3 linked regions of the Notamacropus eugenii genome follow. The protein of the gene in region 3 interacts with the protein of the main gene of each other region in a biochemical or structural test. Links are inferred from orthologs where the notes say so. Each region holds a gene or a part of one and is shown on either strand. Other genes may lie near its edges.

Region 1 (8,051 bases), on a different chromosome or scaffold from region 3:
TGGAGAGCACAGAGACAAAGCAGGGAGAGGACAAAGGTCACCTCCTGAATCGAGCACTCAGTCAGTCAACAAACATTTATTAAATGCTTCCATTCACTGTGCTAAGCACTAGGGATACAAAGAAAGGCAAAAGACAGACCCTGCACTCAAAGAGATCAGTCTAATGAAGGAGACAATATACAGGCAATATACAGAATAAATTGGAAACAATCAACCTAGGGAGGGCAGTACAGTGGGTTAAAATTAATGCCACTTCTTGAGAAAAGTCAGTCAAGAATGTCTCCCTGTACCCTACCTTCCTACCTCGAATGTCATAAAAAAGAGAAAGGAGAGCAGTGCAAAGGAAAAAAAAAGAGGCAAAAAATTATGCTCTTTTGTTTTATTGTGCCTTTTGTCATAGTATTCAAATAAATTGACAAGAGTATGACATTTTCAAAAGATATTTGTAAGACAAAAGTCAAGGAGGGGATTCTATAGAAATTCACCAGATCAAGGTGAATTATCAAATTGGTAGCAAGATCTGAAAAGTACCTACCAACTGCAGGGAAAGGAGATCCTGGGATATAGGTGTGGTCACAGACGGCTGTTCGCAGAACCAGAAGAATAGGGCTGACAGATCTCGGCTGGAGAACTCAATGATGTGTAAATTACATCCTGGCCACAAGCCCAATACAAGAGATTCAAAGGGTCAGAAGGCGTGTTCTAATTGGTACCTTGGGAGAACCCAAGTGATAAAAGATGGAGATTTTCAGAAAAGAGTTCACAGTTATTAATTTGGTGTAATTCAGGATAGTCACTAAAAAGTAGGGTTTACCCTCCCTTGGGCAGTCAAGTATACAGCATAGAAAACTGAGGATTCTATTTACTAGTTTAACGCTCAGATTCTCCACTTGTAAGACAGGGATGCCAATACCTGCCACCTGCACAGCTAGGGAGACACAAATCAGTGTTGGAGGATCCTTAAACGAGAAACGTCCCCTCTTCACAGAAAGGAATTCTATTTTCTTCTTATTTTGCACAATTTTGTACTGTGTCTTTTAATCTCATCTATTAGTTCTGCCCCAATGAGTCTGGAAAGTTTTATTTATTTCCCATCTTTTTTTTTTTAAACAACAAGGAAACTGAGGGTCAGAGAGATTAGTTAACTTGCCAAAACAAACTAAGAGAATGAGTGAGGATTACAACTCCCTAGACTCAAGCGTCCATCTGATCTTACTAATTTTGCCACCTCCACCCACCCCAATCACACATTACATCATTTCTTTCATTTTAAGGAGAAGAAAGGGGCTTAGACAACTTGAAATGTTTCTCCATGCTTTTCACTGACGCTACTACATCAGAAAGTATAATCACGGTTCTTTCTACACATATCTTTGGTTCACCTCTGATATCCTTGGGCAGGTGCATTTGCACCAGAAAATGCCTACGTCTACGTTTTCAGGTGGAAGGATACCTCTACTCTCTTAAAAAAAAAAACAAAAAAACAAAAAAAAAACCTAGTGTGCATTTTTTAACATCTCCTGGTATTCAAAATTGAGAATAGACAAAAATCACCTCAAAGCTGAATACCTTTACTTTAAAAGTAAGAACAGTTCTCGTTTGTGGTTTTAGTAAAATTCTTCCTGGAAAAGACAGTTTCATTATTTAGATTCCTTCCCCCCCCCCCCCCCACTTTTTTTTTCTTTAGCAAAATGACCTTCAAATGCGTTCAGAGACAGGTTTTTATAACTCTTAGAAGACATCCTAATTAAGGCACTTTGAGAATAAGTGTTACCCCTCCCACTCAACCCACTCTCTACAGGGGGCGGGTGAGATCACTGAAGAGAAGCCCAATACTGCCTCCAAGTTGAAGTAGACGGTCAATGTCACATAGCAGTTCTTACAAGTTGCACCCCCGCCCGCGCCCGCCCCCGCCCCCGCCGGGTTCCCAAAGATAAATGCGGGGATCTGTGTCTTTGAGGGAATGACAGCCATCGAAATTTTAATTGCTTTAGTAGGCAGCCACATGAGTTTTTTCCCTCTTCTGCCACAATGCAGGCAATGCCCACGAGACTCCCGAGATACCCAGGCAGAAGGGAGACTGTCAGAAATCCAAGGCGGGCTGCCCAGCACACAGTCAGGGCTTAATAAACTTCTGTCCGACTGGGCTGGGCTCGGTGGACCCTGCCCCTTCACCCAGAGCCCAGGCTGGGGCTCTGATCTAACATTCCCGGACAGGGAAGGTAAGATCGGCTCGGTCCGAGGGCGACCTCCCCCCACGAGGGCGTCTGGCATTCCAGGAGCCAGAAGCGCTAGGGGCGTGCGGCTCGCAGCCTGCTGAACTGTAACCCTTTGTTAGGCTAGGCAGGGCCCGAGGTCAGCTCGGCTCTCGCCCAGTCCTCGGCGGCCGAGCCTCCAGCGGCCCCCTCCCACCCCTGCTCGGGCCGGGGAAGAGGAGGGGGCGTGCGGCTCCCCTCCCCCGCCCATCTCTGAGGAGAAGGAACTGAAGACGTCCGGAGCTTTCCTTAATCAAAGTGCTTCACTCCCAGGGAAAGCTGCAGAGAGTCCGGCAAGCCCAGAGCCCCCCACCTTTCCCCGTGCCCCGGCGCGGAAGGCGGAGAGTAACTGCGGGTGGCCCGGGAAGGGAAAGGAAAAGGGTGGACCCCGGAGTGACCGGGGGGCGGAGAGAGCCCACTTCGGCCACCTGGAGATACTCACCTAGGGTGGGCGCGCCCTGGCACAGCCAGAGAACTAGCAGCAGGCAGAGCGGGGCAGGACTCAGGGCGGGCATCTTCTCGGTCAACTCCTCCTCCTCCACCCAAGCGGATCCACATGGGGCGGGGGGGTCCCTGCTGGGGAGCCCCCCCACTGTCTAGCTTCAGCCGCGGCGCTAGGACCTTAGTGCGGGGGCCCCAGATCGCCCCGCGCCCCGGGATTCGCGCAGCACCAGCTCCAGCTCCAGACACCGCCGCCTCCCGGAGTTTGGCAGAAAGTTTCTGCTTCTCTCAGCCTCGTGTGTCCTTCCGCCTCGGCCCTCCTCCCCCTGGGGAAAGCCCCGCCCTCCTACTCCCCGGCTCTCCTCCCCGGCTCTCCTCCTCCTCTTCCTCCTTCTCCTCCTCGCCTCCCCAGCAGCAGCAGCCGCCGCCTTCCGTACCCCGGGGTTTCCCGCACGAAAAAGTTCCGGCACGATTTCCCCGCGGAGGGATCTACTACGATTCCCTCCCGCTCCCCCCCCCCACCCCCCATTCCTTCTAGTCGCGGGTCGGGGCCGGAGACTCTGGTTTAACCCTGTCGATGCTGGAGATCTCGCCAGCGTGGGCAGGAGCGCGTGCTGATGGAGAAGAGGTCGGGGAGCCCGAGCCTAGAGCATTGGGCTCTACAGGGAGGTCCGGTGTGATGGGAAGAAATTTGGGTTAGAATCAGAAGACCTAGGCCCTCTCACTGGGTGACCTTGGGAAGGTCCTAGCACCTTCGATTTACAGCTGGAAGAGACGGGAGCAGCCTCTACCTTCACCTTTATGATGGAGAAGAATGATGACATGACTTGCACTTGACTTTGATTTGAGTGAGGGAGGGCTGTGCAAGGTCACTAGCCTCACTTTCTCCTTCTGAGACGTCTGGTTCCAGTGACCAGATATTCATCAGGGCGATGGCCCAGGATGCAATGGGAGACCTTGGCCTTTTTAGGCCTTTACCTTTAGGCTACACTGCAGTGGACAGAGCTGGATTGGGGTTCAAATCCCCACTATTCTGATCATTACTTGGGCAACTCTGGGCAAGTCATTTAATCTTTCTTGGCCTCAGTTTCCTCATGTGTAAAAAAGAAAATAGGTACTCCACTTTTACTTGTGTGACTATGGCCATGTCATTTATGAGCCTCTATTAGCCTCAGGTTGAGTCTGAGTCATTGTTGTTTGAGTCATTTTCAGTCATGTCCGACTCTTTCTGACCCCATTTAGGGTTTTCTTGGCAAAGATAATGGAATGGTTTGGCACTTCCTTCTTCAGCTCATTTCATAGATGAGGAAACTGAGGCAAATGGGGTAATTGACTTGCCTAGGGTCACACAACTAGTAAGTATTGGATTTGAACTCAGGTCTTCCCACCTATAAGCCCTGAGCTATTATCCACTGCACCACCTAGCTGCCTGGATCTCAGTTTCCTCATCTATAAAAGGAGGGAGTTGGAACTTTAAGATCTTTCCTAGGTTAAATCCCTATTATATATATATGTATACATATATATGTGTGTATATATATATGTATATGTATACATAATGCTGCCCTTCTACCCAAAGGTTATACATCAGTGTCATGAAGGAGGACCATGGTTAAGGAGAAATTTGGGGAACAGGAAGCAGAACAGGGTAGAGGCAGCTTACCATTCTTTAAACAAATATTTATTGAGTTTTTCAACTCAGAGGGTTGTTATACTTCTAAGCCCCTACCAGAGGTGAGCTGGTAAATGTTTAACAAACTGCTCTCCAAAAATTTTTTTAAAGTACATACCCATGACACACTTTTAAATTTAATCTGCATTATTAACATTTTCTCCATCACTTTCTAAAGTCTAGATGATCAACAAAATAATAAATCAAGTCCTGATTGTTTTGCTGATTTCTGAGGTACAAATATCCAAGCTCTAGCACATCCTTGTCACCATATAACCTACTTACAGTCTAGTTGCCAACACTGACACTCACCGAAAAGTCAAGTAACAATACAAGACGTGATAAGTGCAAGATGATAGGAGCAGAGGTGCCCAGAGAAGGGAGAATCACTGTGGGCTGAGTCAATAACATAAACTGCAAGTAGGACTTGATGTGGTCCTTGAAAATGGGAAGTATCTGAAGAAGAAAACAGGTATTCTAGATAGGGGACACGCAAACAAACATGCAAAGAAAGGAAGCAGAATGCTTGTGCCTAGAAAAGTGGTAAGAATGAGCCTGGAAAGAGATAGGAGTCAGATGATGAAATGCCAGTTTAAAATTTAGCTTGTTAACAATGGGAGGCCACTGAAGGATTTTGAGCCCAAAAGTGGCACAAAACTACAGAAGAGTAGATAATAATCTTACTGAAGAGAAAACTGAGTCATAAAGTGGTTAAATGATTTGTCCTTCTATGACATCACTAGTACATGGAAAAACAGACACATTTCAATTCATCAAATTTCAATTCATCAAATACCCCTACTATGTTCAGAGCACTGTGCTAGGTACTGGTAGAGAAACATTTTTTTAACTACAATATGGAATGGCCTAGTGGGGAAATAGGAAATACAACTTGCTATAATATAAAAATTATAGCTCACATTTATATATTAATTTACAATTTAGAGTGCTTTGCCCCCACAAAAATCCCTTTTCTTCTTTTTTTTAAACTGGGTATATGTGTATCTGGACTTATTATTTCATTGGAGAACTCCAGATGTGGGAACTATACATTCAAAATTATGGAGCAGTTCTCGCAACTGGTCTGTATAATTTGTAACTTTAGAGACTTGCTTGGGGTTTGAAGAAATTAAGCGGCTTGCCCATAATCACACAGCTAGTCTGTGTCAGAATTAAGGCTTGAACCCAGATCTTCCCAATTCTAAAACTAGCCTCTAACCACTATACCCAGCCACAAATACCATTGGCCCATTTTGCAGATTAGGAAACTAAGAATTGGGGGAGGGAGGGATATGATTTACCATGGTCACAAAGCTGGTGAGTGGCATGGCTAAGACTTGAATCCAGGTCTAGCAGCCAAAAAGAGCTAATAAAATCCTGAAGTACATCAGGAGAATCATAATTACTAGCAGCTGGGAACTGATAGGCCTGTTGTATTCTGCCATAATCAGGCCTCATCTGGAGACATATTCTGTCAATGGTTGACATTGATAACATTGGTAAAAAATTACCAAAGAAGGGCAACCAGCATGGTGGAAGGTCTTGAGTCTGGGTTATATGAGTTTTCATTGATGGTATTGGGCATGCAGAGTATGCAGAAAAGATGAATCAAGGTGAATAGAACATCTTCACATACTCAAAGGTTTTCATTTGGAGGAGGGATTCTATTTGTTCTGTTTGGTCTTAGAGGGTAGAACCAAATCCAATGGGTAGAAGTAAAAAAAGGTAAACTTGGGCTTGATGTCAGGAAAAAAGAGCTATTCAAAAGTAGAATGGGATGCCTTAAGAGAGAATGGGTTCCTCTTACCTGGAGGTCCTTAAGCAGAGGCTAAATAACTGCAAGTTGGGTATTTTGTAGTGTGGCTTCTTTTCATGGCCAGGTTGAACTTTCTAGTTATGCCACTGAGTTCTTCTCCAAGTCTTACATTCCATGATTTTGTCCTTTGACTCCAGATCAGTATTCCTTCCACTACCATGATACCTCACAGTGCATTATCTGGAAAGTGAGGTCAACCAGCTGGTGGTGTGTAGAACAGATTGGAGTAGGTAGAGACTGAAGACAAGGGAATATTTACCATAATCTTCATGTGAGATAATGAGTCCCTTAAAGGAGGATAATAGAAAGGAGCAGATGGATGTGAGAGACACTGCAGTTGGTAATTGGGGGGACACACACTTGCCAATGTCTTAGTCTCGTTAATTTGCATTAAGTGTTGGTAAAAATTGTCCATATGTCATTAATGTCATTACAATCCATGAGTTTTAGCAGCTTTATATGGTTAGGACCAAAGTTTTATAAATTCACCTATGGGAGATTTGGTTCTAGAAAACGGATTCACTCCAGCCTATCTCCCTGAAGAGTCAATGATCAAACCAGAATGACAATTTACTAATTTTATGCTGAAAAAGAGAATTAGAAATTAGACTAAAATATTTAATGTTGAGAGGAGAGCACATGTACTTCCTGGTAGGAAAGTCTCCTTAGGAGTAGGGTCAGAAAGTTGCTTAGTAGGCCCAGGATTCATAAAGCTCCACAGCCAGAATATGATGCATAGCCACATTCATTATATTTTAGTTTGGTAAAATCTGAGAAGACATCTACCCTTGCTGAGAATTCCAGGACAAAATTTGAGAAGCCATGCCTTATTAATCATCACAGAGGGTAGCATCTTTTTTTTTTTACCTTGTTCCTATATTTGAGGGTTAGACCCTGTTTGATACTTTGTACTGATTATAGCTACATGAAATTCTTTTGATGTGTATAAGTAAATTGGTCTTGTTTGGGAAATCATTCATAAATATGCATTTTTATGCATACATATCATATATATGTAATGTGTACATGTATATATATATTATCAGAAGTATGATCTGTGAGTATAATTAGACCTCATCCTATCACCAACAAAAATTAGCACATGAGAAGATACCATCAAGGATGTGTGAAAGGGAAAAAGGAAGTATGTGGCTCATGTGTTGAGCGTGAGTTAACAGCTGGGCAGTCCATATATTGTCCTGGTATCCACAAACTATTGAGAGAATCAGAGGAAGGACTCTAGGATGTTGGATGGGTTCTCAACAGAGGATTTACAGGAAGAAATAGGAAAGAATCATAGAATACGAGAAATCCTGAAGTGCCATGAGATCCATCCAGTGAAGAGATCCGTCAAAGTGCTGAACATAATATTATGTAATCTCATAGATAATATAATCTTATAGATTATATTATATAAATCCTTAAGACTACCTAATTATCTATAATGGAACAGCTGGTGAATTCAGAAATCTTGTACTTCTCTTTACTGTGTACTTTTAAAACTAATTATTGTTAGTTTAAGCAACACTTGTGTGCTTCAATTAATAGTAAAAGCAAAAAACATGACTAATCTGAAAATAAGTTTTGAATGACATCACATCTAATGGGCATCCTACTGCTGCCTTCTCAATGGGTGAGGGAGGGGCTGGAAGGTGGGAGAGAATTTGGAATGTTAGTTAGAATAAAAGTTAGAAAATGAATAAACATTTAAAAAATTAGTATTAGCAAAAAAACTTGCTCATTACCATCAAATTGAGTTCAGAAAATGATTTAATGGGAGAACTGTTGTTCTGGGAGTCAGCCAAAGGACACCACCTTCTAATCCACTCCAAGTTCCTTGCACCTGGTTAGGTCCTCCTTCCCTAAC
Region 2 (7,536 bases), about 95 Mb from region 3:
TTCTTAATTTTGTTATCTTCCCCATCCCATTCCATCTAGCATAGTACTATAATCTATTTATACCATCATAAGCACTTAGTAAATATTCATTATTGCTGAACTGTTGAGTCAGTTGTAGAAGAAAAATGTACATTCAGTAAATATTCTACATCTATCATATGTGTGTACATCCACTTCCACATATAAATACAGGTATGTATGTATAGAAACATACACAGGTACCAGATTTCTTAAGGGCAGATAACCCTTCTAATGAATTCTTTTGATTTTCTTAATGAAGTCAACAAGGAGGTAGGAAGGAAGAATGATAGACTGAAAGTTGGGCTGTTTCTATAAAGCCAGCTATCCAAGGTCTATCCCAGCCTACTAGCTCTAAATTGCACAATAACTTGGCAAAGGATGGGAAAAGTTACCCAGAAGCCAATCTGACCAATTCAACTACTCAAAAATTCCACCAGCATGACTTTCCCAAACTTCCCTCGATCTCCCTTCTCGCCCACCCAACCAGAAGCCTATACTTGAGGGGAGATCCACATCTCTTTCAAAGGGGAGGAGGGAAGGGAAAGAGAGGAAAAGGGAGGAGAGAGAAGAGGGAGGAGGGAGTGGGGGGGGGGGAGCTCAGACTACAGTGAGCGCTCAGAAATGCAGTGAATTGTCTGCCTGTTCAAACATTCATGGTAAAGTGACTTATCTAGCCAGTCCTGGAGGGGGAGTCTGAATGGCCCCAAAGCAAGCCGCACACACTCCCCTCCTGGTTCGTGGGAAAATGCGACAGCTGCGGGGCCCAGCTTCCCCTGAACTCCAACAAAGCGGGAATCAGAGCCGCCCATTGTAACTCGTTTAAAGACACCTCTTGTTGCATTATTGACTGTAGGGCTAGGATTGAATATTACCTCCCGGGACACTCAATACCTGCTCCCGGGAAGATCTGAGGTGCACCAATGGGCCCGCCTCCACCTCACCCCCCACCCCTCAAATGCTGGGCCAATTCACAGAATTCCGCGGACACCCCCCTCCACCATCCCGGTTCCATTCCTGGGCAGAGAGAGAAGTGCTTCCCCAACTTAAAGCCCCAATGAGGGGTTCGGGCTATATATATCAAACATGAGAATCTAGTGGGCCCGTCCCCTCTAGCGACCTCCTTTCTTGGAGAGTCAACTGAAATTAAGAGTTTGGGGTGGGCTGGGGGCGGCGGGGAGAGCTGTGCCCAAAGTCTGCGGCCTTTTTTTTTCTTTTAACACTTTTTTCAAAGAGGGGCGAGGAGGGTTAGGCAGTGTTGTTCTTCTTTGCACCGCTCGGGGAGGGGCGCCCACGAAGCGTGGGAAGCAGAGAGGAGGGAGGCAGTGAGTGGAGGACACCCGGCAGAGGGCTGCCTGACTCATCGCTGCTCCGTGGGCTGAGGGGGAGGAGGGAGCCGTATGGGGGGCCCCCTGCAAGTGAACGTTCTCCCAGTCCCGAGAGAGTTGTCATTCCTTAAGGTCAGGAGAAAAGAAAACTCCAAAGTAGAGGGTGAGATCACAGGAGCCAGAGAATGTTCTGTGAAACTTTTTTTTCTTCCCTCCCCCGCCTTTTTTTCCAGGAAGGGTTACAGATGCTTAGAAGTTTTAGGTTTTTGGACCAAAAAGTTACTCATCCCTTAAGCTTCAAGCAACTTTCCCGTAGCCTGCGGGACGGCTCTCCCACCAGAGTGGCCAAGGTCAGCACAACGGCCGGAATGCAGAGCCCTTGCAGCCCCAGGGAGTGGGGCCACATATTCCCCCCCCCCCCCCCGCTACGGCACCGGGGAGCGGGCTTCCGTCGGTTTCCTCGCAAAAACTCAACACTGTTCTGAGCCCGAAAACCCCGCGCCGCTGACATCCGCCCCCAGCCCTCGACCCGAAAGTGGAGTGGGCAGACGGAGAAGAAAAGACCAGAGAGAACAGGAAACCTGACTCAAGTTCGAATAGAAAGAACTCAGCCAGCGGAGAAAAAACCCAAAGCGGGGGGGGGGATGGGGGGATGCAGGTTTGGCCCGGGGCGGGAGCGCGGGGTAGGGGGGGAATGTAGGTTTGGCAGTGCATGGAGAAATGCAGGTTTGACTGCGGGTAGGGGGATGCAGATTTGGAAGGGGGCGGGAGAGAAAGCAGGCGGAGAGTAAGGGTCGTTCAAGAACTTAGCCTCAGCCTCCAAGGCATCTGGAACCCTCCCTATATTTCCATCAGTTTGGACACACAAGCCACACTCCGCACCTTCCCCTCCCGGTGCCACCTCAATCCCCTCCCTAAACAGAGCCCCCAAATTGGGGGAGGGAGTAGTCTTCCCTGCAGCCAAGAGTCTCCCGGAAAGTGGGGAAACTGGGGATGGATGACATCTTGCACATAGCCAGGGGCGCAAAGCTGGGAAAAGGTGACTCCAGGGGGTCCCATCCCGGCCAGGGAGGTACTGACATTCCCACTCACCCACCCACCCGTTTCGCTGCTGCCTGCACCATCACACGATGCCCGTAGTGACCAAGCCAGGTTGCTTTCCCCTCCCCTTGTACAATCCATGCCTGTTCACTCTCTCCCCAATACTGGCTGGATTAGCCGCGTCTCTTTTCCAGGAGGAAAAAAGTTTTCTCCAACGGTGCACAAAGTTTGCGGGCTTGCCCGCCCCGCCAGATTGTTCTCCCACCCCCAGATCTGGGGGTTCCGATCTCCACTGGAGCAGCCCCAAGTCCTACCTCGTGCGAGGACCGGCAGCAGCGACAGACAGACGACGGGCACTAGGAGCGGCCGCATGCCTCCAGCAGCGGCCAGCTCTCCCCCAGCGGCGCTTCGCTCGGGCAATCCCAGAAAGGCTCAGAGTGACATAAGGTCTCCGAACGGGCAGGGAAATCCTAAGCAGCGTCTCTCAGCTAGGGAGCCAATCTCGCCCTCGTCTTCCCTTTCTCGGCAGGCGGACGGGCGCGCACGCACTGCCCGAGTTCCCTCGTTCCCTCGCTTCCTCGCAGACTTCTCCGCGCCGCTCCGGCTCAACCCTACGTAACCTACAGCTGCCAAGACACTAAGTGAAGCTGCGAGCTCCGCGCCTCTCCCACTCCTCCTGCTCCTCCCCCCCACCCCAGCCGTGAACCTCCCTCTTCTCCGAATCCTTCCGCTCCCCCTCCACCCCCTCCCTATGGAGCTTCGCTTCTCTCAGCTCCAGAGCTCCCCGGAGAGACCGCGGGCCGAAGATGCTTTCTGGGGTGTCCAAAGCTCTCTTGAAGAACCCCGAATACTTTTCTGGGGCTGGGAGGGCCTCCCGTGCCAGGGGACTACTTCTCGTTTGAAAGTTTCAGAAACTACTGAAAGTTTGTTGTGAGCTTGCGGAGGGATTCTTGGTTCTTGCATGAAGTTTCTGTTCTTCGCCTAGTCTTTTACGTATTTGCATGTCAATGGAGGAGCCACTGGTTTCGGGGCCGGGGACCAGCAGAGTGGAGCGTAGGGTGTGCTTAGTCCCAGCCACCTTCCCTTCCTAACCTTGTCTCCGGCCTCCCTCTACGGGATGCTCTGTGGGGACTTCATGCAGAGGTAGAGAAGACAGGGAAAGTGGAAGGAACGTTCAGGACGAAGAGCCAGGGATTGTCCCAAAGACTGATCTGAATGCCTTAAAAGGCAGTGAGCTGGGCTAGGGGGACTTGGGTTTGGAGGAGTATTCTCGGGCCCCACCCTCGAGAGCTTTCCTGGAGTGGATGTTGGATTTGGGTAAGACTTGGGGGTGACCTAAATCCCCCTTTCCTAACTTAGGAATTAATCGTGGAGCACAGACAGGTTTGTGCATTCATCCTGATCTCTTTCCCTCCACCCCCTCATTCCCTGTAACTCTGGGCACTTCTAGGAGACCAGACGGGTCCATAGGAAGGTGACTGGGGACTTGAACACATTTGACCATGACGTCTTCGTGCACTTGACTCTCTTAGAGGGGTAGGTTTTCGGGTGCCACGGAGGTCATCTATTCCAACCTCTCGTTGAAAGACATAGAGAGGGTTAAGAGGCTTTGTCCAAATTCACACTGATAGTGTGTATTAGAGGCAGGATTTGAATCCAGGTCCCAAGACTCCAAATCCAACCAATCAGCAAGTATTTATTTAACCACTTACTATATACCAGGAACTATATCACTAGAGATACAAAGACAAAAAACAAACAGTTTTTGCCCTCAAGAAGCTTATTAATTCTGTTGGGGAACTATCTACACATACAAGTAAGCACGAAATCCATACCCTGTAAATAAAAAGTAGATAGGATGGGGGAGAGAAGAGACACTAGGTGTTGGGAAAGATCAGGAAGGGCTGTATATAAAAGAGGGACTTGTCCTAGATTTTGAAGCTGCTAAGGGATACCAAGCTGGGGGGTCTCTACACAGGCAGGAGATGGAATGTTATGTACCAAGAGAAGCAAATAGGCCATTTAACAGGAATGTAGTGTGTATGAAGTGGAATAATGTGCAAGGAGTCTGGAAAGGTTTTTTGGAGTCAGTGTGAAAATCTCTGAATGCCAAAGGAGATGGTATTTTTATCTTAAAAGCAATAAAGAGCCTTTGGAGCTCTTTGAACAGATAAATGACTGAGGCAGATCTTTAGGCCTCAGGTTGTTGTCACAGCTTGGTGGAGGATGTTTTGGAGAGGAGAGGGTCTAGAGGCAGGGAGACCAACTGGGACACCTCTGCATTATCCCATTCTAGAGGGATGAGGTCCTAGGCTAGAGTAGTAGCATGTAGTAGTAGCATCATAGTAGCATCCAGAGCGTAGAGAAGAGGCCAGAAATTTTATGGCTGAAGATCAACAAAACTTGATAACTAATTAGATATGGGTAATCAGGAAGAATGAAAAGTCAGGAATGACTCTAAGATTTCAATTTCAAACTTGAGTTACTGAGAGGGTGATGGTATCCTCAAAGGAAAGAGGAAAATTGGGAAGATGTATGAGTTTGGGGGAAAAGATAATGAATTCTACCTACTTTGGACTTGTTGAGTTGAGCTGCCTATGGGACCTCTCAGTGGAAAAGTCCAACAATCAGTTGATGATGGACCATAGGGAGATCTATAGTTGTAGATCTGGAAATTATCACCAAAAAGATAAGTGGATGGATGAGATTGTGGTAGAGAGAGTAGAGTGTAGAGATCACAGGACAGACTCTTGGGGCATACCCCATTAGAGTATGGGCCATGGATGGTGACCCAGGAGAGCAGTTTCAGGGGTGTGCTCATCCTTGATAAACGAATAGCCAGACAAATAGGTGGAGAATTGGATGACAATACTCAGAGAAGAGAGAGGAGATGGGAGCAGAGAGTTATTAGCAAGTGTCCTATGCTATAGCAAGGTCAAGAAGGATGAGAACTGAGAAAAAGCCATTAGATTTGACTAATTAAGAGATCATTGGTAATTTTGAGGGAGCAGTTTCATTTGAACAATGAGATCAGAAGCCAGATTGCAAGGATTTGAGAAGTGAGAGAAAATGCTGTCAAAGAATATAGTATTTCCACCACCCTCTGTTTCCCCCATCCCCATCCTCAACTCCTGCCTTCTACTCTCTCCAAACTTATGGCCTTGTGAGTCCAACATGAAGTTGGAAGAAAAGGATAGTGAGATTGTATCCATCTAAATAGACCCCATGTCAAAAACCCAACAAAGTTCCAGATGGTGTCTAGGTGTGTGAAAACATACTCAAAAATAAATCCAAGCGTCAAAATCCCTTCTATCTCAAGGTCTGTAGGCCTGCATTTGCTTTGATTCCATTAAACAACCATCTGTTAAACCTACTTTGTACTGTGTTAGGTGCTGGGGGAGATATTTCATTGATTTATACAAAAATTTTAAGCCATTCTCTTCTCTTTTTAATGAACTAGCTGGCTTTATGTGGATGCATTACCTTAGAAAGCAGTAGACCACAACTATCCTTACCAGAGTAGCTAAAACCTTTTCATTTACAAATTGAGCTTCTGAAGACTTTCTCTACCTTATTTACAAACACTTCCCCAAAGTTGGTAACAAATTATGTTCTCAAGCACTTTGTGGAGGGTTCCTAGATACTTGAGTCTGTTTGTTTGAAGAATCTTTTCATCAAAGGAAACCAAAGTCTAACATTAAAGGTTACTTAAGCAGAGAGACGTTAAGTTCAGCAACTTCACAGTTGAGTGGCCGTTTTTCCACCCACTCTGTCCCACAAGATCATAGGATGGATCCCAGAATTTACTTGGCCTGGCTGGAAGTAGACGGTCTATCCCAGTTCACTACTCAGACTATATCAGAACCTCAGAGTTAGAAAAGATTTCAAAGGTCATCTAATTCAATACATTTTCAAAAGTGTTTCAAATGTTTTAATCATTTTTATTGACTTGACATCTATCTCCTTGATTAGTTTTATATACAAAGAATAGAAAAAGAATTGCATATGAATCTCAATTACTGAAATCATGGTTATTATCTTTATAAATCTATAATAAATCTACATGGTAATTCCAATACATTCTTGTTCACCTGTGTCTCTTTCTGAATTTCCTTCTGATCTCTTCTGTGTATTTAATAAAGAAATGTTTCATTAACAATCTTTTTTCTTCTTATTTTGGCATCACTATTACTGCTCCCTTCATGATTTCTCCCCCATCCTCCAAAGATTTTTTTTCCTTGCAACAGATAAGTATAGTCAAGCAGAACAGATCTATACAATGGCCATGTCAGAAAATGTATGTCACATTCTGAACCTTTAGACCTCTCTGTCAAAATTAGGGAGTTAAGATTCATCACGAATCTTCTGGAATGATGGTGGTTCTCTATTTGATCAAAATACTTAATCAAGTCCTCCAAAGTTGCTTTTCTGTACAGTGTTATAGCTATTAAATAAATTGTTTCCCTGATTCTACTTAATTCGCTCTATATACAATCATATATACAAGTCTGTGAATCCATCCCTTTCATAGACCACAAATTACTTACTCATCCATTTTCCAATGGATAAGTACTCCCCTTATTTCTAATTCTTTAATATGAGAAAAAGTGCTCCTTTAAATGTTTTTGTACAAATTAATCCTTTTTTCTCTTTCCTTCATCTCTGGGTTTTAACCCAATAGCAATATCAGTTGGTGAAAGGATATGAAAAGGTTAGCAATTTTTGGGGAGTATGGTCCCAAATTGCTTTCTAGAATGGTACCAACTCACACTTCTCCCAACAGTACATACAAAAGAGTTGCCTTTTTTCCTGCAGCTACTCCAACAATTGTCATTTTCCATTCTTTTGTTCATCTTTGCCAAAATGATGGCTGTAAGATGGAAAGCCAGGGCTGTTTTCATTAATGCAACCTATTTCTAAAGAAGATCCTCTCTACAATATCCCTTAAAAGTGAACAAGTGATCTAGCCTTTACTTGAAGATCTCCAACAGACTCACAGCCTCCCTGAGGCAGTCTGTTCCACTTTTAGATAGCCCCAGTTGTTAGAAGGGTTAATTTTGTTTTGTTTTTCTTCACACAAAGTCAAAATCTGCCTCTCTGCAACTTCCCATTATTCCTCATTCTGTTCTTTGAGGCCAAGATTTAGAGA
Region 3 (7,273 bases):
AGACCCCCTCCCCCCCAGCTTTAAAACCCAAAGTTCCCCACCTCACCGCAGCTTCTAGAGATTTCGGCGTGCCCCTGATAGAGGGTGTAGCGATAATTTTGTCCAAGCCTTCCTTTTGAAGGAGAGACCATTTCGAGTACATCCTTTTGGGAGAAGGGAGGCAACTGCCAAGGCCTGTCGCTTTACCGTGCACGTTTGCACTGGATGGCAGAAAAGAGAAGGACCCACCTCCCTCCCCCCAAAAGTGGGCAGTAAGGAAGTCCCTCGGGGGGCCTTTACTTTAAAGAGAGAGAAAACGCAAGCCCCTCCCTGTCCGCCATAAAAAGAATAAAACTGTTAGGAAGGCAGACCCTTCCCGGACCGGGCCACTTCCCTGGGAGCCGGTCTCCCGAGGATGGCAGAAGGGGGAGGCTCTCGCGGTTCCTCGCAGTGCCTCCCAGAGCACATGGTTCCGGGCTCCACCTCCTCCCTTCTCTGCGGTCTGCACTTAGCAGGGAAGTTTGCAAAACACAGCTGTTCCAAGGAGCCAGAGAACCGCGGAAAACGAAGCCGCACCGCGGAGAGAGGGGAGCAGGGGGCTCGGGGCGAGGGCGGGAAAGGAGCGTCCTTCCTGCCCCTTCCCCAAGCGAACACAAAGCCCGGGGGTCTCCTGGCCCTGCCGCGGTAAAGGGCTGGACGGGGGGCTGCAGAGGAGCTCAGAACCGGGGACGACGAGCCCCGAGCCCCAGGCCGAGAGCTGACAACCCGGTCCTGGCAGGAAAGGCAGGCTCCCTCTCTTCTCCCCTCGCCTACTACCCGCTTCTCCTCCAGTAAGGACACACCCCACCCGCTCACGGAAAGGGGAGGGTGCCCCTTTGGATCGCGCTCCCAGGCCATCACTGCATTCTCCCTTCTCTGGTGCACCAGATTTCAATGGTTAAAAACCCCCGCACTTTGCTGATGAACTCTTGACCTCTCATTTCCTCCGGGGCGGGGGCGAGGGAGGGGAGAGGGAAAGCAGGCATAGCGCGGGACCCAGACCTCATTCCAGCAGACTCTTAAGTGCACAACGTTTTGCACAACTGATGCAGATTTTTCATCTTGCTCAAAGACCCCCGTGCAAACCAGCTAAGTCTTCCCAACTTTGCACGCTCAGGAAGCACGCAAGGCAGTTGCACGGTTATAAATCTCCCTTTCCAACCCCTAGCCGACAGCCCCCTCGGCTCGCCGCCTAGCTCTGCAGGGACTTGGAGCTTTCCATAACTCCCGTGGGGATTTCCGCGAGTCGTTCAGCAAAGATTTCACCACCCTCACTTCCCCACGGGGAGCTGAAAGAGAACACACGCTCAGGGATAGAGACCTTTAAATGCCGCTCGCTAGGGAAACGCAAACAGCAAGAAAGAACTTGGGACTCACCGGCCAGGCGAAACTGAAAGGGAGAACAATCCGGTATCTTTCGCTATTCCGATTCGATTTCAGATTAAAAGTATTCCCTCCGATGACAGGCGTAGATCCCGATCCGAAGCTGCAAGGCCCCCCTGCTGTGACCCGGGACTGATACTCCTTCAGGCAAACTTTAAAGTAAGTAGCACACTCGTCTCTGGTGCATTTTCTATCCTCTGGATTTCGGGAGCCATGGCAGCAATTCCCATTCTGCAATTCCCCATTCAGGTTTTGCATAGATAAGATCTCCAATTCGAACTGTCCCGAGGCCGAGGACACCTGTTAAGTAGCCCCCCAGAGAAAGAGTTCTGAAAAAGTTATCTTGGGCTATTTTTTTTTAATGCGGGGGAGGGGGGAGTGGAGGAAGAGAAGGAAGAAATGGAAATCCCATCCCATGGACAAGACGTGCAACAGCAAAGTTCATAGTGACAACTGTGAAAATACGTTTCCCACTTTTTTTTAAGGATTAAGAAATTGAATACTCTATGAAAAAAAAACACACCACCACACACACATACAACTAAGAAATGAAATTAAAGTGATTGTTTTCCCCAGCCTGGAGACGAGGGGAAAAAGGAGAAGGGCAGGGATTTGTTAGTGCTAGATAAACGTCAAACCAAGAAGGCTGAGAAAGAGAATCTCGACTCCGAGGGAAGGGCAGAGCTGCGGGGCTGCAGGACTCGACTGGGATAAAAGCAAGTTAAGCCCCGCAGTGCACGGGAACCACGTCTGTAGTAAAAGAAACCACCCAAAGGGGAGAAGAGTTTCAATATCTAGGTACGGTATATGTATGTACGTATGCTAAAAAACCACAAAAGGAGCGTATAGTCCTGAAAGGCGAGAAGCAGGCGAGGCGAAGACGGGGAGGCACTGGCAGCAATCCTCCAAGTCCAAGGTGCAAACAGCTTTATTACCCACTCTGGAGAAAGTGACTAACGGGGGGCAGGAGGGGGAAGGGAAGAAGGCGAGGGAGAAAGGAAAGGCCCCCGCACACACACACGGGCACACGCAGCTCCTCCCGTCCCAGCGCAGGACAGCGGCCGTGCAACGTACCTTCACTCGCAAGCATAGCAGCGCGATGATCAGACCTAAAGAGCACTCAGTCCGGACGGGGGCCCGTGGTAAAAGCATCGCCTCGTCCTGGAGCCTCGGCTGCCGGTCGCGGAGACACTGAACGCTGCTGCTGGGGCCGCCGCGTCCCGGCTAATATACTCCACCGATGGGAGCATGCACGGCTGGAAAACAACACCACTTTTCAAAAGCCTTTTCAATAGCGTCCCGGTCCTGAATGCAAAAGAGCCCAGCCTCCTTTTATTATTCTGATTTCTTCGCTTTTTTTTTCTTGCTCTCTCCCCCCTCCTCCTCCTCCTCTTCCTCCTCTCTGGCTGCTCTCTTTTATTATTATGATTATTCGCAGCCTTTTATTCCCTTTCAGATCGGCTGCAGGGAAAAGGGGGGAGGGAGGGAGGGAAGGAAGGGAAAAAAAAAGCCACCGCTTCCTCACAGGTAACACAATAACACGCGCCCGCACCGCGCTCGCCCTCCAGCCTGGCTCACACAGAGAAGAACCCTGAGAGCCCGTCTGGGAGACGGCTTCTAACTCTATCCGACCGCAGCAGGAAGGCGCATGCGCTCCTTATTACTATTCATGAGGGGGCGTGTCCCTCCGGAGACCTCCCGGGCACGCCCACTCCCCCTCCTCCCTTTCTCCCAGGCTGGGAAGGAAGGAGGGGCGGCAGCCGCCGCCGCAACCTCCCTCTGTAGGGGCAAGAGGGGAGGAAAAGAGCCTGGAGAGGGGCGGGTGGGTCGAGACACACCAAAATGGGGCGAGAACACGCAAACGGGAGAAACTGGGTGGAAAAGACGGAGAGGGGTTACTGCTGGCATTGGGGTTGGTGGACTAATTAGGAATGTGTGTAGATACGCGTCTATGTGGATGCCTTCGTTCCTCCCCTTAGCCTTGGCAAGCGCTGCCCTTAGGATCCGCGTGGTGGAGGAGGCGTGACATGTGATCCCACGCGTGGGCTAGAGCTTGGAACGCGCTTCCGGGGGCGGGCGAAGTGGGCCGAGGTGGGGGGCACGTGGCGCCTCAGGTGTGTAAAGCAGGCGGAGAAGCGGGGGGCCGGCTCCCTGTGTGTCCGGAGCCCGGGCGCTGGCTGGGCCCGCGCTTCGGCTTTCCGCCGTGCCGACGCCGGGCTGGTGGGAAGAGCGTGTGGGTCGGGCCCGGCTTCACGCAGCCGGAGCTGGAAAGCTTCCTTCTTCTCTCCCCTCCCTCCCCCTTCGTGCGTCAATTGCGGCTTCTCCCCGGGAGGAGGAGGAGAAGAAGGAGGGAGCTTCCACTCGGAGCGAGCCGCGCACCCCGAGCTCGGCGGGACGGCGCGGGCTGCCCGCGATCCGCCGGGGGGCTGGGGCGGCCGGCCGAGACCACCCGGGCAGCCCCCTTTGCCTGGAATTTCGAAAAAAACGTTCCCCGAGTGTCTGCGATTTCGGGGTCTGCCTTCCTCCGCCGTGGGATCGGAGGTGGCAGAGCCTCTGGCTCGGCAGTCCCTCCCGAGCCGCCCGGCGGCGGCGGCAGCGCCAGGGGGGAGCGGCGGGGCGGGGGAGACCCGCGAGGGGCCAGGGCCTCCCCTCCCCCTCCGCTGCGCTCGTGGGGGCGGGCGGGTAGACTATTCTTAGACGCCGCTTCCCGGGCTTCCCCGCCCGCAGCCGGGCGGGCCGCCTCCCTTCGGCAGTGCGGGGATTGCACCTGCAGGCGGCCTCCGAACTGTTCCGGAGGGGCCGCTCCTGCAAGCCCTCGGGGAAGGCTCGGGCCCGCCCCCCGCAGCTAGGGTGGCGCTGGCCCCGGGCTCGCCGGGGTGCGCGCTCCGGGGGAGGGCTTTTATCTCTTACTCACTCTCCCTCACACGGCCAGGGGCCGCAGTGTAGTCTCCTCCAGCGCTGTCTGCCTCTCAGTTCTCTGCGCAAGTAGGGGAGCGGGCTTTCCTTCCCCGTGGCTGGGGATTTTACACAATCATTCTTTTCCTTTTACATTTTCGAGGAGCTCTGCCGGGGGGCGAGTCCTGGATCATTCCCTGCAAGAGCAGGACGTTTAGGGTTCGGGCCATTTGGGAGGGGAGGGGGGGGTGATCAAAAGTGACATCTTCAGATCCAATTCTCCGCTGCCTGCTCGGCACAACTTCGGTGTTGCTGACTTAGGTCCAGGAGCTTTGGGGGCACAAAGAGGAACCCCCAGACGTGCAGAAGGGATCGTCTGTTGTATGACAGGGGGGTCACGCAGTTAATTTTTGTGTAAAGCTGCAAGCATCCCCAAAGAGCATTCAGTGCCGTCCCACTCATAGCTAGGGTGAGCTACCTGGCCAGCCATCCCCTTCCGTGATCCCAGGAGACAGAGAGGCAGGTGAAGAGTTCTGGGGACTTGGAACTTCAGAAAAACAGCCATTAGGGAAGAATCAATAACTAGCGTTTCTTGGCACTTTGATGTTTTCTGGGGTCTTTTATACATTATCCCAAAGTGTATTCGTTCTCTGTCTCTCTCCCTCCTCCCGCCCCATACACGCATCCTGTTCTATTATGTTGGGTATTGGAAAGAAAATTAGACCTTAACTTTAGAGAGGACAACTAAATATGGATGAATTGGAAATCAATTAACAGTACCTCCTAATTGGCTTTGAAAGTTTTGCTGAGAAACTTCCACAGTTCTCCTGGGAGAGAGAGAGGACTTCTTCCAGACTTGAGTAACTGCCCCTTGTCTTCCCAGACTGTTTCCAGGCAGGTTAGCATTGGAGAGTTAAGTGTTTCTTAGGAGAACTCACTTATTCTCAGTGTTTCTCAGAACCGAGGCATGGCCACCATGAGCAGTTTAGAAGCTACTTTTATCCTCAGTTGCTATGTGTCCACTTGTATTCCATGATCTCGTTTACAGGTATTCTTACTAATGTTCACATAGACATCAACCATGCTCCCCTTCCCTCCTCCTCCCCTTTCAATGTTGGGGTAAATACACTGGATTTTTTCATTCATACATTTGTGTTTGGATATAATAGATACTTCCTAATAAACAACAGAACATCCACTTCCCCTGTGGGGGGGGTGGGGGTGGGGGTGCATATGTGTGTGTGTGTGTGTGTGTGTGTGTGTGTGTTACCTTTGGGAAAAGAGCAAGACTTTTTTTTTCCATCGTGACTTTTCAACAAGGGTTAAAGTGATCTCTTTGTGTCGCTATTAAGACACATGTGCAATTGAGATTCCACACACACCCCAGATTCAAATTTCATGCCCTCTAGCATGTCAGAATGCCCTGCCTGGGCCTGTCACCTTACACACCTCAGGGTGGTACCCACAGAGTTGGCCTTTTAGCTGAATATCCAACATCTCACTGGCTGGAAGAAAGTTGCCCATGCATGGCTGGCAGGGGCTCCCTCTGGCAGGTATTACTACAAGCCCCAACTGGTTTCTCATCATTGAGTTTAGTTCTTCTGACCAGTACTATGACAGAACATCCGCTTCTGGAAGGGTTGAAACTACTCAATGGAAGCAAACCAAGTTGGGTGCTAGGATGTCAAAGGTAAAACTCAGAATCCTTAAGATGCCCTCAGATTTCCAAATGATACCATGTTCCTCCCAGGCAGTATTCCCAGAGCCCAAGAAGGAAAGGGATCCCTGGAAAGGGAAAGGGATAGAAAGGGCATTCATAGAAATTTAAACTGGTACTCCCAGAAGAAGGCATTCATTTTTTCTTTTTTTACCATGACAGGTCATGAACAGAAAATTATTTACAGTTTCTCAAGAACTTTGTTTCCCTCCCTCCTACCTTGAACAGAGGTAAATTCTGTTCCTCCAGGACTAAAGAATGAGGAACCACTGACTTGTGAGAACTTATTCCTTATAGTCCCCCTTTGTTTCTCTATTACTCTGTCCTGAGAGTACTGGAGGAAGGAGGGGAGGGAGTAGGATCTATCAAGGCCACATGTGACCTTCTAGGTCCTTGGGTGCAGACTTTTAACTGAGTCCAAGTTTTATTAAGGGGATTTGTTCTCTGAAGTTTGGATCCTATCAAAGAGTCCAACTTGAGGACCTAGAGTGCTACTTGTGGCCTTGGGGCCACAGGTTCCCCACCCCTGGTCTGTCTCTTCTATCACTATTCTCTCTATGCTGCTTGCTTGCTTCAGGTGTTAGTGTGTCCTGTACCCACTGGTGGTCTCCCTTCAGAGAATAAAGTTTTTAAATGCACAAAATACAAATGATCACAAAAGAAACCAATTATATTGAAACAATATTGAAACAAAATAAATTATATTTATGTGTGTGTTTATATATGTGTATGCATATAAACATATATATATATACACACATTTAAGTTCACATACCTCAGGAACCTCTTTATATTTAGTTCCTTTATTTTGATAGTAACAGTTCATTTTTTTTTTTTTTTAAGATCTACAAAAAATTTTCCTGACAACCACCCCGAAGCTGAGAGGCAATACAAATAACTATTTTACAGATGGGGAAACAAGCAAAGGTTAAGTGACTTTTTTCCCCCCAGGATCACATGAATAGTAATTGATTAAGAAAGACGAGGTCAGAACAACAGAGGAAATATTTTCATTTTGTTTTAGATATCACCAGAGCTTGAGGAAATCATGGATGTCTTTGCAGAACAATCAGACAGTAGCAGTGAAGGAACCAGAGAGGGAAGACCTGTCAGCTCTTCAGTCCTTCCCATATTTGCCTAAGAAGACATCTTTGGATGGGCAGTTTCAGGTGGTATAACAGGGCAAAGCTCATCATGGGAAAAGTAGAATTTTTGTGTGCAGTTCTACCAACCCATTGTTTCTTTTTTTTCTTTCCTCAT

Evidence for each region.
Region 1: the proteins of JAG1 (region 3) and NOTCH2 form a complex in vitro, tested with the Homo sapiens proteins (2 studies listed by BioGRID). The link is inferred for Notamacropus eugenii from reciprocal best matches to the Homo sapiens genes JAG1 and NOTCH2.
Region 2: the proteins of JAG1 (region 3) and NOTCH1 form a complex in vitro, tested with the Homo sapiens proteins (3 studies listed by BioGRID and IntAct, with this or other methods). The link is inferred for Notamacropus eugenii from reciprocal best matches to the Homo sapiens genes JAG1 and NOTCH1.

The regions. Positions count from the first base shown.
Region 1 is NC_092873.1:300,122,237-300,130,287, forward strand, and holds the start of NOTCH2 (neurogenic locus notch homolog protein 2), read right to left. Parts: upstream 3,024-8,051; 5' UTR 2,771-3,023; coding exon 2,698-2,770; intron 1-2,697. UniProt on the Homo sapiens protein: Functions as a receptor for membrane-bound ligands Jagged-1 (JAG1), Jagged-2 (JAG2) and Delta-1 (DLL1) to regulate cell-fate determination.
Region 2 is NC_092872.1:489,518,467-489,526,002, reverse strand, and holds the start of NOTCH1 (neurogenic locus notch homolog protein 1), read right to left. Parts: upstream 3,032-7,536; 5' UTR 2,760-3,031; coding exon 2,702-2,759; intron 1-2,701. UniProt on the Homo sapiens protein: Functions as a receptor for membrane-bound ligands Jagged-1 (JAG1), Jagged-2 (JAG2) and Delta-1 (DLL1) to regulate cell-fate determination.
Region 3 is NC_092872.1:584,019,400-584,026,672, forward strand, and holds the start of JAG1 (protein jagged-1), read right to left. Parts: upstream 3,041-7,273; 5' UTR 2,554-3,040; coding exon 2,476-2,553; intron 1,702-2,475; coding exon 1,396-1,701; intron 192-1,395; exon of another isoform or gene 132-191; coding exon of another isoform or gene 42-131; intron 1-41. UniProt on the Homo sapiens protein: Ligand for multiple Notch receptors and involved in the mediation of Notch signaling. May be involved in cell-fate decisions during hematopoiesis. Seems to be involved in early and late stages of mammalian cardiovascular development.